Linked DNA regions of Caenorhabditis elegans. The protein of the gene in region 2 interacts with the protein of the main gene of each other region in a pairwise test. Each region holds a gene or a part of one and is shown on either strand. Other genes may lie near its edges.

The links.
Region 1: the proteins of hars-1 (region 2) and cgt-2 interact in a two-hybrid assay, tested with the Caenorhabditis elegans proteins (one large-scale study listed by BioGRID).

The regions. Positions count from the first base shown.
Region 1 is NC_003284.9:17,692,717-17,701,519, reverse strand, and holds the start of cgt-2 (Ceramide glucosyltransferase 2), read right to left. Parts: upstream 6,289-8,803; 5' UTR 6,201-6,288; intron 5,048-6,200; 5' UTR 5,046-5,047; coding exon 4,798-5,045; intron 4,282-4,797; exon of another isoform or gene 4,174-4,281; intron 3,542-4,173; coding exon 3,306-3,541; intron 3,261-3,305; coding exon 3,040-3,260; intron 2,815-3,039; coding exon 2,491-2,814; intron 1,824-2,490; coding exon 1,692-1,823; intron 267-1,691; coding exon 96-266; 3' UTR 1-95.
Region 2 is NC_003282.8:10,856,537-10,862,272, reverse strand, and holds hars-1 (Histidine--tRNA ligase), read right to left. Parts: upstream 3,317-5,736; 5' UTR 3,306-3,316; coding exon 3,198-3,305; intron 2,957-3,197; exon of another isoform or gene 2,953-2,956; coding exon of another isoform or gene 2,854-2,952; intron 2,809-2,853; coding exon 2,257-2,808; intron 2,209-2,256; coding exon 1,800-2,208; intron 1,753-1,799; coding exon 1,304-1,752; intron 1,255-1,303; coding exon 1,198-1,254; 3' UTR 989-1,197; downstream 1-988. Other genes in the region: rbm-22 (Pre-mRNA-splicing factor RBM22), read right to left, coding at 416-675, 750-860; T11G6.2 (Sugar phosphate exchanger 3), read left to right, coding at 3,777-3,788, 4,210-4,331, 4,375-4,546, 4,767-5,093, 5,138-5,335, 5,387-5,630, 5,677-5,736. UniProt on the Caenorhabditis elegans protein: Involved in protein synthesis. Catalyzes the specific attachment of an amino acid to its cognate tRNA in a 2 step reaction: the amino acid (AA) is first activated by ATP to form AA-AMP and then transferred to the acceptor end of the tRNA.

The DNA of each region.
Region 1 (8,803 bases), on a different chromosome or scaffold from region 2:
GAGAACTTGTGGAACGTGTAAAAAAGGCAAAATGTTACAGACAAAGTGTTACATAGTATTTCATTTAAAAAATCGAGCAAATGTTTGGGCGTGATCTAAATTGAAGTTTGACTGCGAATTTTCCCACCCCAAGCCAGGTGAAAAACGTTGTCCCTCCAACGGATCGATGGATCAAGTGCGGCTTTGATGAATACCAATGGAGCAAATAGCTCGCGGAGCAACCAAATCAACAGAAATTTCAAAGGGGAGAAGCTCATTTTCTTGTTCTGAAATGAAATACCGTTTTTTTTTATTGAGAAAACACTGAAACTACAAAAAATAATATATTTTAATCACAAAGGAACACATGTAAAGCGGGAATGGTCAAACGGCGGGCCGGATGCGGCTATCTGGCGCCCAACTAAACTTCAAAAACCGAGCCTCCGGTGGGGGCTATTTTCAGCCGACGACAGCCCGATGCGGTCCAATGGCGGTTGTTCGGCAGTGTTACGTGTTATTAGGTCGGCAAATAAGTTTTGAAGTATATCGTCAATTTATGTTTTTTTTCCAAAATTTTATTTTGAAGACTTATAGTAGGCAGTCAGTATATACAGTCAGTAGTATATATATATAGTCTATGAGTTTCAACTATTTCGGCCAGCTTTTTTGCTAATTTGTTCTGAAAAAATCGAAAAACTCTGGAGATTTTTTTTATTGATTTTTAACAATAGCTGTTATCGATGTGACGTTAATATCTAACGCAATCACGTTTTGTATGTTTAGAGCAAAAAAAAACGAATCTTAACCCAATTGAGCTATTCCAAAAAAAGTGGACCACAAAAAATGAGACATTTTCAGTTTTTGTTTATTCTAGAAAATTTTTATGAGAATTTATGTAAACTTACTACTTTCATTTAGTTTTTCAAAATCAAGTTATTTACTGTAGATTTCAAGTGTTTCCACCTTTTTCTCAAAGTCTGATATTTGGATTACCTCGAAAGTTTTTTTCAGAAAATTGTTTAACCCAAAAACATTGAAAGTTTTTAAACAGAACAGTTCTATTTAAAAAATCATTATATTTTTTATTGATTGATTTTCTTGAAATTGAAATTCACTTTGAACTGTTGTATGGCTTTCTTTGAAAAACTATAACCGTTTTTTTATTGGCTGAAAAAAAACCAAACAATTAAAAAATAAAGTAACTACAAAACGAAAATACACAAATAGAATAGTTTCAATGTTCTTGTTTTGTCAAATGGTTTGAGAAAAAAGTCAACCAAATACCAAATTTCAAGACAAAAAATTGGCTTTCAAATACTGTTTTTCGGCCGGCTCACGACCTATTTGTTTGGAACACAGTTTTTGTCATTGTTAGTTCTTAAAATACTCTCAGGCTAAGAACAGAGTAAAACAATAACAAAAACAAGCTCAACACAAAAGTAACTCATATGCCGTTTAGCGAAACAGCTGTCCGCGGTTTTTGAGCCGCCATTGGACTGTTCCCGCATTACCTGTGTATGTCACTTCTACCCTCAAATTGAACATTTGCAACCGCCCACGCATCTTATGGCTGTAGTTCAAAAATACACTTTTCCACACATATTGAAAAGTGTAACGGAAAAATCTCTATCTTGTCAACAAATGTATACTTTTACCGGTGAATCACATTCAACTGCAGTTGTGAATAATTTTTTCAATAAACATTTTCATACCTGCATTTTGCACATGACCATACAATCCATAGTAATCCAAAACACTACGTGAAGCATGATTGTTGTAAGCATATCAATATTAGCAATGTAGTTGAGACTGAAGGAAATTATGAGTGCAGAAGGGAAGCAATCCTGAAATTTGTTGAACTGTTATATTTTCACTTGAACACTTCTTTTCTCAAATTTGCGGCTGCAAGAACAATTAGGGTTAATATGTTCCGGGCCAAAATTCATAATTTTTTTCACCAGGTAGATTGTTCTCAAATTGTAGGAATCTATAGTATCATTTATGTGCTTTCATTTGACAGAAGCTTAAAAAAGGTGAAAATTTTAAAAGTTGTTTGTTGGTTGTTAAAAAATGTTCATATATGAATATATGATTTTGCATGCAGAAATAATGCAAAACAGTCATAGTAAGGATAGGAGTCATAGATAGGAGTCATAGTAATAGTAAGGAACTTTTTTTTGACATTCCGAAATTTGAATTTATTATAAATAAAAACAATTTAATATTTTTTTAACGATCAATAAAATGTTGTTTTTAAACTAGTCTGGTTTTTTTTAAGTTTTCAATAAATCCACATACTTCATTTTAAATTAAACAAAACCAATTTATTCAACTCAGCGGAAAAGAAGCGCGATCGGACAGATGCCTCAAAAAATGGCTCCGAGTTAAGGCCTTGATGGTATGAAAATTTTTTTAATCTATTGTCACATAAAATAGCGTAATGATAACAAAGATTCCTGGAGCTTATTCTCCACCTCCCCCAATATAATACTTTTTACTATGAAGACTCACTTGCAGCGGCTCCACAAAAATAATTTGAGGCATCATTGCCATTCTAAGCTTCACCCATCGACAGACTCTATCCGTGAATGACGTCATGGTTACCGCAGCAGAATTTTGTAGCGCTGGATGTGTAGAAATTCCTGATTTGTATCCTCGAGACGCCAGTTTCTTCCCGAAGAAGTAATCCTCGGCAAGATATCCACTGAACGCAGCAAAGCCGCCACATTCATCCAATGCTTCCTTTTTCATCATCGATGACATTCCGGTTGGGCAGTTGAATTGGAGGCAGTTTCCGGCTAGATAAATTCTGGCATGAGAGGTTCCGAAATATATCTAAAACTATTTAGTCTATATGTATCAATGTTAAAGAAGAAGTAGTCGATGTGGGGAGATTACTAACAAGTGTAGCCCATACTGAAATACTCAAGGCGATATTAAAACAGGCAAGTACGTTAACAACGATAAAAATTAGCGTAAGACGCTTCAAAATTTGGATTGGCGCGCAATTTTTTGACTTGCTAGAGTTTTTGTTTGTTTTGACCATTCAATACAACTCACTTGCTCAAAAACCGAAGCAAACCCTTTTCTGTCCTTGCAATACGGAGTTTGCGTCACTAACGCCATTGTCTCATGGCTCATCATTGTACTTGCCATATCCAAAACTGCGTCAGATTTCATAAATATTCCACTATCACTAATCATTATAAGTTGGTACTTGGCTATTCTATAAGCTGGCATCATGTTGTTGATTTTTGGGTTCAGGCCAATTTTTTCGCCACCTGGAATTATTTGTTGAAAATTTCGTTCTTTCGGATAGAACTAACCAAAAAACATAGTTGAATCAACTGAGGGATATTTCTTGACTAAGCTCTCCACTACCTTCACTGCTGGATCATCTGATCTGTCAAAGCAAAATAGAAGTTCAAATTTGTGATACTGCGTTGTAAAAAATGTTTCTAAATTTGTGTATAAATTAGCGTCGGCTCCTATAATTGGCTTGATAATTGAGACTCCGGGTAGTGAAGGGTTGGGTTTGGTTGGACGGTGGAGTCGATACTTTCTGGAACAGGTTCTTTTAGAAAAAAACAGCTAGTGTAAACAGTATTCGAAAATCCGAGCAAGAACTTGTGAAAAGAAAATGTTAGATGTTTAAAATAGTATTTATTTAAGATAACAATTCTATAACCCTGGAAAATTTGTTTAAAAAATTTAACAAAATTTAACTGTATATTTTATTGGGGATTGCATCGGTTTTTTGAAGCCGATATTTCGTGTTTCCATAGTTAAAAAAAAAACTTTTGACTCACAAAATCTTGTGAATATCGTTTCATATTTGTTGTCGTCCGACTTGCTTATAATTCGAAAAAAGCCAAAAGTGTATTTTGTTGTGATTTGGGCCTAACGCTTTCCCTGCGTCCCAACTTTGCAGATATATGACCGGTCAGGCTCACCCACTCGCCACCACTCATTATCCGCGAATACATTCACTCTCCGTTGTCCTTTTCCGTTTATTATCTATTAATAATACATCCCATTTGAATTACCGCCATTTGCGTATTTCCCGATGCAAGCGCGCTCCTCCGATAACTCCCGTTATTCCGAAGCGTCATAGCTCCGTAAATCCACACAATAATTCTAACCTACTTTTAGGCCAATCGTTCATTCTGTTCTACTTTCTCCAGACGAGTCAGCGGCTACCCATCCGCAGACACTGTGATTCAGGACCTTTCTGCACCATTTCCATTCTGTTAATCACTTTAATTCCTATTTATATCCACTGAATAAACTGGAATTCATCTGAAACTGTGTACTGTTATTCTCTCCGCACCGCTTATCACCAATGCCGCTCGAACCTTGCTCCGTGTCTCTCCGCGCGTATCTGTAATACGCTGTTTGTCACTCGGTAGGGTGACTGACTCCCCTCTACTGGTCCCGAGTGTCAACATATTTTTTGTGATGGTTTTTTTTTAAATAGTTTTTTGTAGCAACAATGAATTAGAAAATTACGATATGTAATTTCCCTCAACTTTTTAAAAATCTTATAATTTTTTCAATTTGAAACAATTTATTTTCTGAAAGTTAAAAAAAAAACTTATAAAAATGAAAAATGAGCTCATGTGAGGTTCAGTAGGAAACTATTTCCAAATCTTTTCATAGACTTTACAAAAAGCCTAATTATAAAAATTGCTGCAGAAAGTATATTTTCATAATTAGGCAGCTGCGAGATTCTATTTTGGTTACAGAATTCTATGAAAATTTTTTATTAACTTTTTAATGTCTGGCTCGATTTTCATTTTGAAGACTCAAAAAACTCACCCATAGCATAAACCAACAATGTGCAAAAAGTACAATGCACTCACAAAAACCACACCGAAAACCGCAAAACATGTGCAATAATCGATGTCCTCTAATATTTTCTTTGTTCCAGTTAATAAAAGAGGTATATATTGCGAGAAAAGTGGGTAATATAACGACGAGGCGTTCTGTTCTTGAAGAGATTCAGGTTGAACTTCTGAAATTTCCGGAATAATCTCAACCTCCAAACCGGTTATTTTATCGCCCATTACTGCAATATTGTGGATTTTTTAAAATGTCAAATACGAATTGAAAAAAAAACACAAAGAACTAAAAGAAATAAAACAATGTTTCAAAATTGAGATGTTTTTAAATTTAAAAAAGATCTCCAAAATTGGACAAAAATTTCTCATAAAATGGTTTAACATTTTTTGATGTTCAGATCCAAAAAATTAATGTGCCATAAGTGCATAGAAAAAGGTTTTCTATCGACTTCCAAATTTATACCTTTTTGACTGATCATATAAAATGTTCAAAAAAACATTTGCAAAAATATCTGGTGATTTGGGACTATTTGAAAAACTCAACAATTATTTTTAAAAACAATATATGAAAAATGCTGTATTCTCATTTTCATAGCAAAAATTGAACCTGGTCAGAAAAGTACACAAAAAAGTGAAAAGTGAGTTTGCCTAAAAATTGAAAGTTCTCAGTTTTTAGCGAGAAAATGTCTGACAATTTAACAAATTAACTTCCTGAAAATGAAAAAAAAAACGTGTTCACTTAAAAAAAGTGATAATTCTGCTTGTCATATGTAACTAATTCTTCAAATTTTAAATATTTTCTAAAAATCCTGTTGCAAAAAGTTAATATTTAGAAGAAACGAAAAAATGATTGGTATTCAAACCCAGAACATTAAAACTACACTGAAAAAATATGAAAATCAGTTTGTGCTAATTGTGTTATGCCAATCAGAACAAGCGCTGATAACCTCTTTTTCAAAGTTTTTTGTTGAGTCTAAAATGATAAAGCTGACAACATTGAAAAAAAAACTCAATTCAAACAACCAAATGAAATTGAATGTTTTGGCAGTTTTTAAACATATATTTGGTGTTTAAAACTTATGGAGAAATAAAATAAATGTGGGGTGGCGCCCATAGCAGAATTGTATAAAATAATTCCTACTGTACTAACATGGTCAATAAGCATGGAGGAATAATTTAAAAAATAAAAAAAAGTAATTCAGTTTCAATAAAAATGTTTTCGCCTATTTATTATTATTTTACAGGTTGATAAAAAATGCTAGCAATTTTAAACTTTATATAGTTTTGATCTTTGTATTTTTATTTTTATTGTAAAAGCTCAATTTTGCCATAACGCACAAATATTTTTGAAAATCCTACTTTTTTAAATGGCAAACTAACCGTTGTTTAGTGTGAAATCCGACTGAGGATACTTTGTCACCAATTACTAAACTGTAAACAACTAGAGATGCACAAATGTCGTTATAATCTGAAATTTGAATAGTTACTGAAACATTTAAATGAAACTTAATCATATAGAGCTTCCATAACTTAATAGTTAACTTGATGGCTTTAAAATCACTTCACCAAAAATTTGATTATCATTATTTAAATTTATTTACGAAATTTAACATAACTTTTTTCTCTTCTTAATCTCAAGTTGCAAACAAAAAAATCGTCAATCTAGGCCTAAGACAAAACATAGTTAGAAATATATTGAAAACTAAGTACCAAGACAAAAGACACAACTGTTAACTATAAATTCTCGGAGACGCACTTGCCATTTAGGCACTGATAAAACGCGTGAGCGCAATGTACTATAAACTAATATTGCATCTGTAACGCGTTTTACCCTTCTTTTCTACTTTGATAACAAAAACACGCAAGTGAAAACTGAAAAAATTCATCAAATAATTATGCTGACAATCATCAAATTTTGAATACGAGTAAATGACTGCATGGCATCGCGGAGTGATACAAAGGTGCTGATAAAACGTTGGAGCTTCGATTTAAATTGAAATTATAGCCGCTCTTTTTGCATGTTTCCAATTCTAAGTTGAAGCAAAGTCTGTGTGAAATTTTACAATTATAGAAATTAAATCGTAATAACCGAAACCATCTGTAAAATGTTTTTAAACTTTTTCCTACATTTTTTATTTTTAGGCTGTCATGAAAATCCTGTCCTAATTTTTTGTTTAATCATTGTGGGCTAGAGATCAATTTCGGTGCTTACTCCTAGTGATTGATAAACAGTGCAGTCTTTGCAGTAATGAACCTCCCATCCCTCTCTCTTTCTCTCGGTTCAAGTTATTTGCTAACATGGTAGTTTACATATATATTAAACTGCTGAAAAACATAACTACTATTGCCCCATATATGTTTTTATTTCAAATCACATATTGCAGACAATAGACATGGAGATGTCCACCGATTTTCCAATCTGTTGTAAGGAAACGTTACCCAAATGGCTGATAGCATGACTGAAATTCCGTCATTCATTTTTTGAATAATTCATGCATAAATTTTTTTTTCTGGTTTTTATGTCGCTTTTCTAAGTATCTTTTTTTGTATTTTGAGTTCATGAGATTTTCTAATCTAAAATTTTTATTATTGTCGTATGACATGATTCTTGTACAAAAATGTTGCCTACCCTTTACGTAAGCAAATGTTGCATTTGAAAACACCACTCTGAACCAAGTTGATTTATCACTGAGTGATTCATGTTTCCAATTGTTGTGAAACACTGAAACTTACTCCAATTTTTTTCACATAAATGTTAAAAGATGCGCATGTTAGCTTTTGTAAAATCATTTATTTTTATTCTAACAAGTATATTTCATATTAGAGGCGGAGAACCGAAGTCTAGGAACTATCTTCAAATGACTCCAAATTTGTGCATGACTTCGAATATCTATGTGAAAAAAATTTCCCTCATTTTATTTTTGATCTTGAAATTGCAAATTCCATTTGCGTCCCAATGACTTTTTTCAAAGTCGCACCCAAATAATTTCTCATTGGAGCGCACAAAAAAAGTCGAGAACGCAATTGCAATTTACGATTTCAAGCTCAAATATACAATCAGGGAAATTTTTTCCAATAATGGTGAATTTTGAAGGCATTATTTTCCTTGAGTAAGCCTTTTTTCTATGTTAACATTGTGTTAATTTTATATCGCTAATCCAGTGTTTCCTTCTCCAACTTTTAGCTGTTCCATCTTTTTTCATCATCCACCTGCTCATTAATTTTGCTACAATGCAGTTGCTCAATATTCAAAGTCGATATATCTGATGAACTATTTTATTAGGGTGAGCAATAAGTTTTTTCGTATTTTCTCAGTTTTCATCCTTTCTCAAATATTTTGTATGTGGTACATAGTGGCCTATTAGTAGTGCAAAATATATTGATGTCATATATTTCCGTCAACTTCCAGACTGATTGATCCTCAAAACTACGCTTTTTGTTTAAACTACGCTTTTTGTTTAAACGTGATTTTTGTAAAACATGCAATTCACGAAATTATCTTTAAAATAAATTTTCTCGAATTTTTTTGATTCAAAATTTAGAGAAATTGGTTTTTCGGTTTTTATGTTCCAAGGCACACACAAAAACCTCTCTGGCGCGGCTTAAATTTACTTTCCTGTCACACAAACATACCAATAATATTTTTAAAAAATCAAGAATCCAAATCTATCAAAACTTTTCCGGAATACCATAAATTTTATTCTCTTTCTGTACTAAGCCTCTTCGTGGCGAAAGGGATCAACAGATAACCACTTCAACAAACTCGATGATTTCGTCACATCGAGAGTGGCTTGGTTTGGAACCAAGTGCAAATTATCTGGCCAAGAAGTACACCGTCTCACGCAGGTCAGAGGTAGTGTCGAATACTCTCTGTCCGGGCGGCTCTAGATTGGCTTAGCAGGTCATTATAGAGTATCTAGAGACACAACTTTTGCTCTAAACAGCAACCCATCCTGCCTCAGTCCTCCGCATCCGGCCTCTGC
Region 2 (5,736 bases):
GAAAAAAAAAGTAATTTCATTGATTTTTGTCCATGTAGAAATAGCTAAAATAAACTAAGATGTGAACTAAGGGAGTCGGTTCCTTGATTTTCAAGAAAATCAAAAATATAATATTTTCCTTTTTCGATTCACCGGTATTTCGGTAAAAAATTCGATTTTTCGAAAAATAGCTTGAAATTTGACTATTTTTCCTCTTTTTAGAAACAAAATTATATGTTTTCCTGTTTTTTCTCATCAACATATCATAAATAAATTTTGATTTAAGAAAGTTTTTGTAAATTTTCTGCACTCTTTTTCCAATTTTTTGATATTCTTTGAAACAGAATCAATTTTTTTCGATGTTTTTTCCTAGGATGCGAACTTATTCCTTAATGTTTGTAGCAAAACATCATCATAGAAAATATTAAAGACGTACCTCTCCACATTTTGCAAAAAGAAATCGCGATTTGCTCCTTGTTTCGGGATATTATCAGCAATTTGAAGTTCGTGATCACGCACTTGGACAGGCAATCCATATTCCAAATCGAACATGCATGTCTGGCACACATTCTTCACTTTAGCACATGTTTGACAAAGTTCAGTGTTCTTGTAACGAGCTCCCTTTCCTGGTTGCCATCTGAAGGTGGTGAATGGGCGCTCACAGATTTTGCATTCTCTGCCATATTTGTCCTTCATCTGAAAAATGTGAATTAGAAGGAAAAACTATAGAACGAAAATGTCTAAAACTTTAAATTAAATAATAAACTTACCATTCTCATATATGGATTATTTCCGAGACATGTCTCACAGAGAATTGGAAAATCTGAATCTTCCCAATTTTTCCGGTTGTATTGCGAGTAAGAAGACTTTGACATCGACATGATGGCAAATTCTGAAATAAATTATGAACTACGAGTTCTTTTAAATCTGTGAAAACACAAATAAGAAATTTGAGTAAGGATTGAGAAACCTTTCAATCAAAATAGAAAATTCTAAACCAAAAGGAAATGTGATAAGTTCTGAATTTTCAAACCAACAAAAATAAATATGAAATCTGGAACAAAAAAAGGAGAAAAACAAACAAGTCAAACACCGACTATGCAAAAATCAATAAAACAGGAAATATGAATTATGATGACTGGAAAGAGGGACATAAAAGCTGAAGTGAGGTGAACGCAGAGAATTAGAAAGCTAAGAAAACAAGAAATTATCGATTGTTTAGAGGGCGGCAAGAGTGTCACGAACGGCAGTGATCAGCTGGTCGAGTTTAATAGTCTGAAAATATTTAATTGTGATATCGGAAAAATTATATTAGAAAAATTACCTGTTCGTCTCTGGTGACCACATTTCGCAACTTGACAACTCCATCTTTAAGCTCCTGCTCTCCAATAACAATAGCAAGCGGAATACGTCTTTCCTCAGCATACTGGAATTGCGTTAACAATTTCGGATTAGCCTTCAGTGCCATTTCAGTCTTGATTCCAGCAGATCGAAGCATCTTTACCAACTTCTTGCGATCCCTGACCAAATTCTTTTGAGCAGATGCAACATAGACTTCGGTTTGCGTCGTACGAATGGCAACTTTCTGTCGAGCTTCCATGATAGCAAACAGACGTTCGATACCAAAAGAAACACCGCAACATGGAACATTGGCTTTTGAGTCGAACATTTTAACCAATCCATCGTATCGTCCACCGGCAGCTACTGATCCTACTCCGACTGGTTGTCCAGCAGTATCCTCTGAGTTTTCAACAGCAGTTCCTTCAAGAGCTTCTGAAATTAAACAATTTGAATAGTCGATTCAATATTTAAAAACATACTAGGAGCGACTGCTTCATAGATTGCACCTGTATAATAATCAAGACCTCTGGCAAGGGATGGTTCGTATCGAACAGTGGTCACTCCATCGACATTGAGGTACTCAATTAACACCTTCAGTTCTTCGGCTCCCTTTTTAAACTTGTCATTTTGCCCGAGATCTGGGAGTTGTGACATTTTTTCAAGAAGTTCCAAATTGTTGAGATCGCTATTGAGCTCTCGGAATCGAACAAGTTCTCCCAGCTTTCCAGTCTGCTCTTTAGTTAGGAACTTTTCATTAATCATTTCTTGTTCAACATCTTCCCATGGAGTTTTGTCAAGCTTATCGACCGATGAGCAAATTGTTTTGAAATCTTTAGCAGGAATACCGGAAACGGCAAACATTCCTTCGAGGATCAGACGGTGATTGAGCTGAAACAACACAATTCGAATTAAAATGATTGTTAATAAATGCCTTACATTAATGAAAAACTCTCCAATTTCCAGTTTCGTGAGCAACTCATCAACAATTCCCAGACACTCAGCCTCCGGAAGCATAAGGTCATACTGTCCGGCAATATCAAAATCGCATTGATAGAACTCGCGGTACCGTCCACGAGACATTACAGGTTGATCTCTTCTGTATACTTTCGCAATTTGATATCTTGTAATATTCGTGATTTTGTTCATTGCCAAGTATCGTGCAAATGGAACAGTGAGATCATAACGCAATGATAGAAGCTCTCCTCCTTGATCTTGAAGATCATATACAAGTTTTCCTCCTTCCTCGCCATATTTTCCCATCAGAACATCACGAAGCTCGAATACTGGTGTATCAATGGTCTCTGCACCATATCTATTGAATGTTTCAGTGACTGTCTGTAACACAGAATTGCGAAGAGCCGATTGAGCTGGTCCGTAGTCACGAGTTCCCTTTCCTGTTTTCAGAACAAACTTTCCGGGTTTTTCGGGTGCACCGGTCTCGCCTGCCTCCTTTCTTTTCGCTTGCATCAGTGCGACTTTCTCTTTGATCTGAAAAAGCATGTATTGGTGGAATTTCATGTTATTCAAGAATACTCGTCGTCCACTTCTCTGTGCATATGCAATCCGCGGTTTTACAGTTTCTTCAGCCTGCCGAACTGAGAAAGCCAGCCTACTCGTAATAGTTCGAAACATTTTACTGAAGATGTGAAAGTTCGTCACAATTTTATGAATTTGGTGAGAAAACTATGCGGATTGCAAACGCGTTTCATTAAAATAGAAGATCAGACATGAACGGGTATCCTTTATTTGTTCAAAAATGCGAAAAAAAACGATACATGTAAAAAGTCTATCTAATTTTGGAAATTAAACGATTATTTGTTTGTTTCTGACTGAATTTCGTTTAAATTAACAATGTAGCAAAAAATCGATAAACTCACAATTGCTTGATCGGCCTTGTCGAGTTTTAGCTGTCGAATTTCGTCTCCAAGAGCTTGAGCCTCTTGCATGAGAATTGCTTTTCTTTCGGCGGTCATTTTAGATGACATTATTGTGTACCCTGCAAGTTTATTTGCAAAATTGTTCAAAGATTAAAAAAAATGCAAAAAGGAAACGATGAGGAACGGATTTCGAAATTAGGTCTAACAGAGAAAAAACAGAGGGAATTGAGAGAGTGCGGTAGTCCACGTTTGCAATTACACGAGACAGGACTGGGGGTCAATAGGAATAGTCATTTTCAATTTTATCAACACGTGTGGGCTGTCTCATCAAATTTGATATCGAAAATTGAATTTTGTTTCTCTCATTAACGACTTTGAACATTTGATTATGGGAATTTTTTAATTATAACGAAATAAGTGTTTGCAATATTAATAATTTTAAATTAAATTTAAATAAATAGGAAACGCGATTTCGAAACGTAAGACACTTAAAAATTGGATAATTAAATAGTTCAGAAAACGCTCATTCAAAATACGGAATCGCCTCGAGACCCAACCGGTGAACCATATGCGCCTTTAATGCTAGTTACGGTAAAATTTAAAGTTTTACGCCCACTTTTTCTACAACTTCTAGTATTCTATGAGATTTTTTGATTCAGTTTGATGAAAAGTGATAAAATAAATTTTAAAAATTGCTTTTCATAAAAAGAAAACAAGATTTATTATTCAACCATTATAATTTCTGAAAATCAATACTAATGCATCATCTACTTTGTTTATGTTTTCTGTGCCGCAAGCTTTCTGGAATATTTCTGTTTGTTTATGTATTTATATCCATATTCACATGACTTTGTACTTGTCAGCTTCGCAATATCATTTCCATATTTTTTCATGCATCTCTTTTAGCAATAGAATCACAATAATTCATTTCCTACCTCCATATCTATTTTCGCCTCCAAAAATTAAACAAGTTTCCATTCAATCATATTTCTTCCAATTTCAACAATTTCAGGGTGGTCATATGCCGAGAATCAGACTCAGGAACGATGTAAGCTCCAGCAGTTTTTGGACGAGAATAACTGGTCAAAAATGGAGCAAGCATCATGTTTTTATATTTGTACATACTTTTATGAGGTTTGATTGATTGTAAATAATATAAGATTAATTATTTTTTTAGTTATGCAATGCTTCATGCCACTCGGAAAACATTGTCTACTGTTAAACCATCACTTATTCACACATGGATCTCAAATACTTCAACACCCGATGGTCCAGTATTTCCATCTCAACAAGCTGCAGCTGAATTCTTAGGTGTTCTGGATACAGGATTCTTGGTTGCATATGCAATTGTAAGTATAACAATTTGAAATTTCGAAATAGATTTATTTGACTTGTCACAGGAAAAAATCATTCCCAGTTAATTGTACACTCAATAGGCTCCTTACCAAAAATTGCGGGAAAAGGTGTGACGTCATTTGTATTTTTTTCCTAGCATCTCATAGTGACTTCACATAATTCCAAATATTTCCCGAAATAGAATATTCAAAATACCCAATTTCCAATATTCAGGGTCTGTACATATGTGGAATACTTGGAGACAACTACAATCCTCGTCGCCTTCTAACAGCTGGAATGATGCTTTCTTCAATTATTGTATTCTGTTTTGGATATCTAACTGAAACTTTTCATTTCTACTCTCCGATGGTCTACTCGTTTTTATGGATTTTGAATGGGTTTATTCAATCCGTCGGGTGGCCTGTTGAAGTCTCTATTATGGGCAATTGGTTTGGACATAATGCTCGTGGAGCAGTTATGGGAGCTTGGTCATCGTGTGCAAGCGTTGGAAACATAATTGGAACATTGATAGCTAGTTACACTCTTTTTCTGGGATATCAGGTATTTGGTTACATGGTAATTGTGTAACATGATCAAAATTTCAGTACTCATTCCTGATTGCATGCTCCCTTTTATTCATCTACAGTTTTCTTGTATTCTTTCAACTTCCATCAGCTCCATGGGAAGTGAGTAGTGATATTCTACCAGAACAAATGGAAGAGGAAGAGACTGATGATGAGCCTACAGAAAGACCACCACCAATTGGATTCTTGAAAGCTTGGTTACTTCCAGGTGTTATTGCAGTACGTTGTCATACACCGATTTCGAAAAGTTACTCAACTTTTAATTTTCAGTATTCACTGGCTTATGCGTGTCTGAAGCTTGTTAATTACGGTTTCTTCTTCTGGTTGCCATACTACCTTCATGCTGGCTTGCACTGGCCCGAATCCTACGCCGACTCACTTTCCACGTGGTATGATGTTGGAGGAATCGTGGCTGCTGTGCTCGCCGGAGCCTTTTCGGATCACATGAGATCTCGAACCCCAGTTGTGTTTATTATGCTGTTAATGGCAACTGTTTCACTTTATATTTATGCACGTAAGGCCTCAATAAAATGTTCGAATCTTTCAATCAGGAGTTTCAGATTCCCCCGAATCCTACAACTGGAATGCATTCCTCTTACTCGTCGCCGGATTTTTCATCG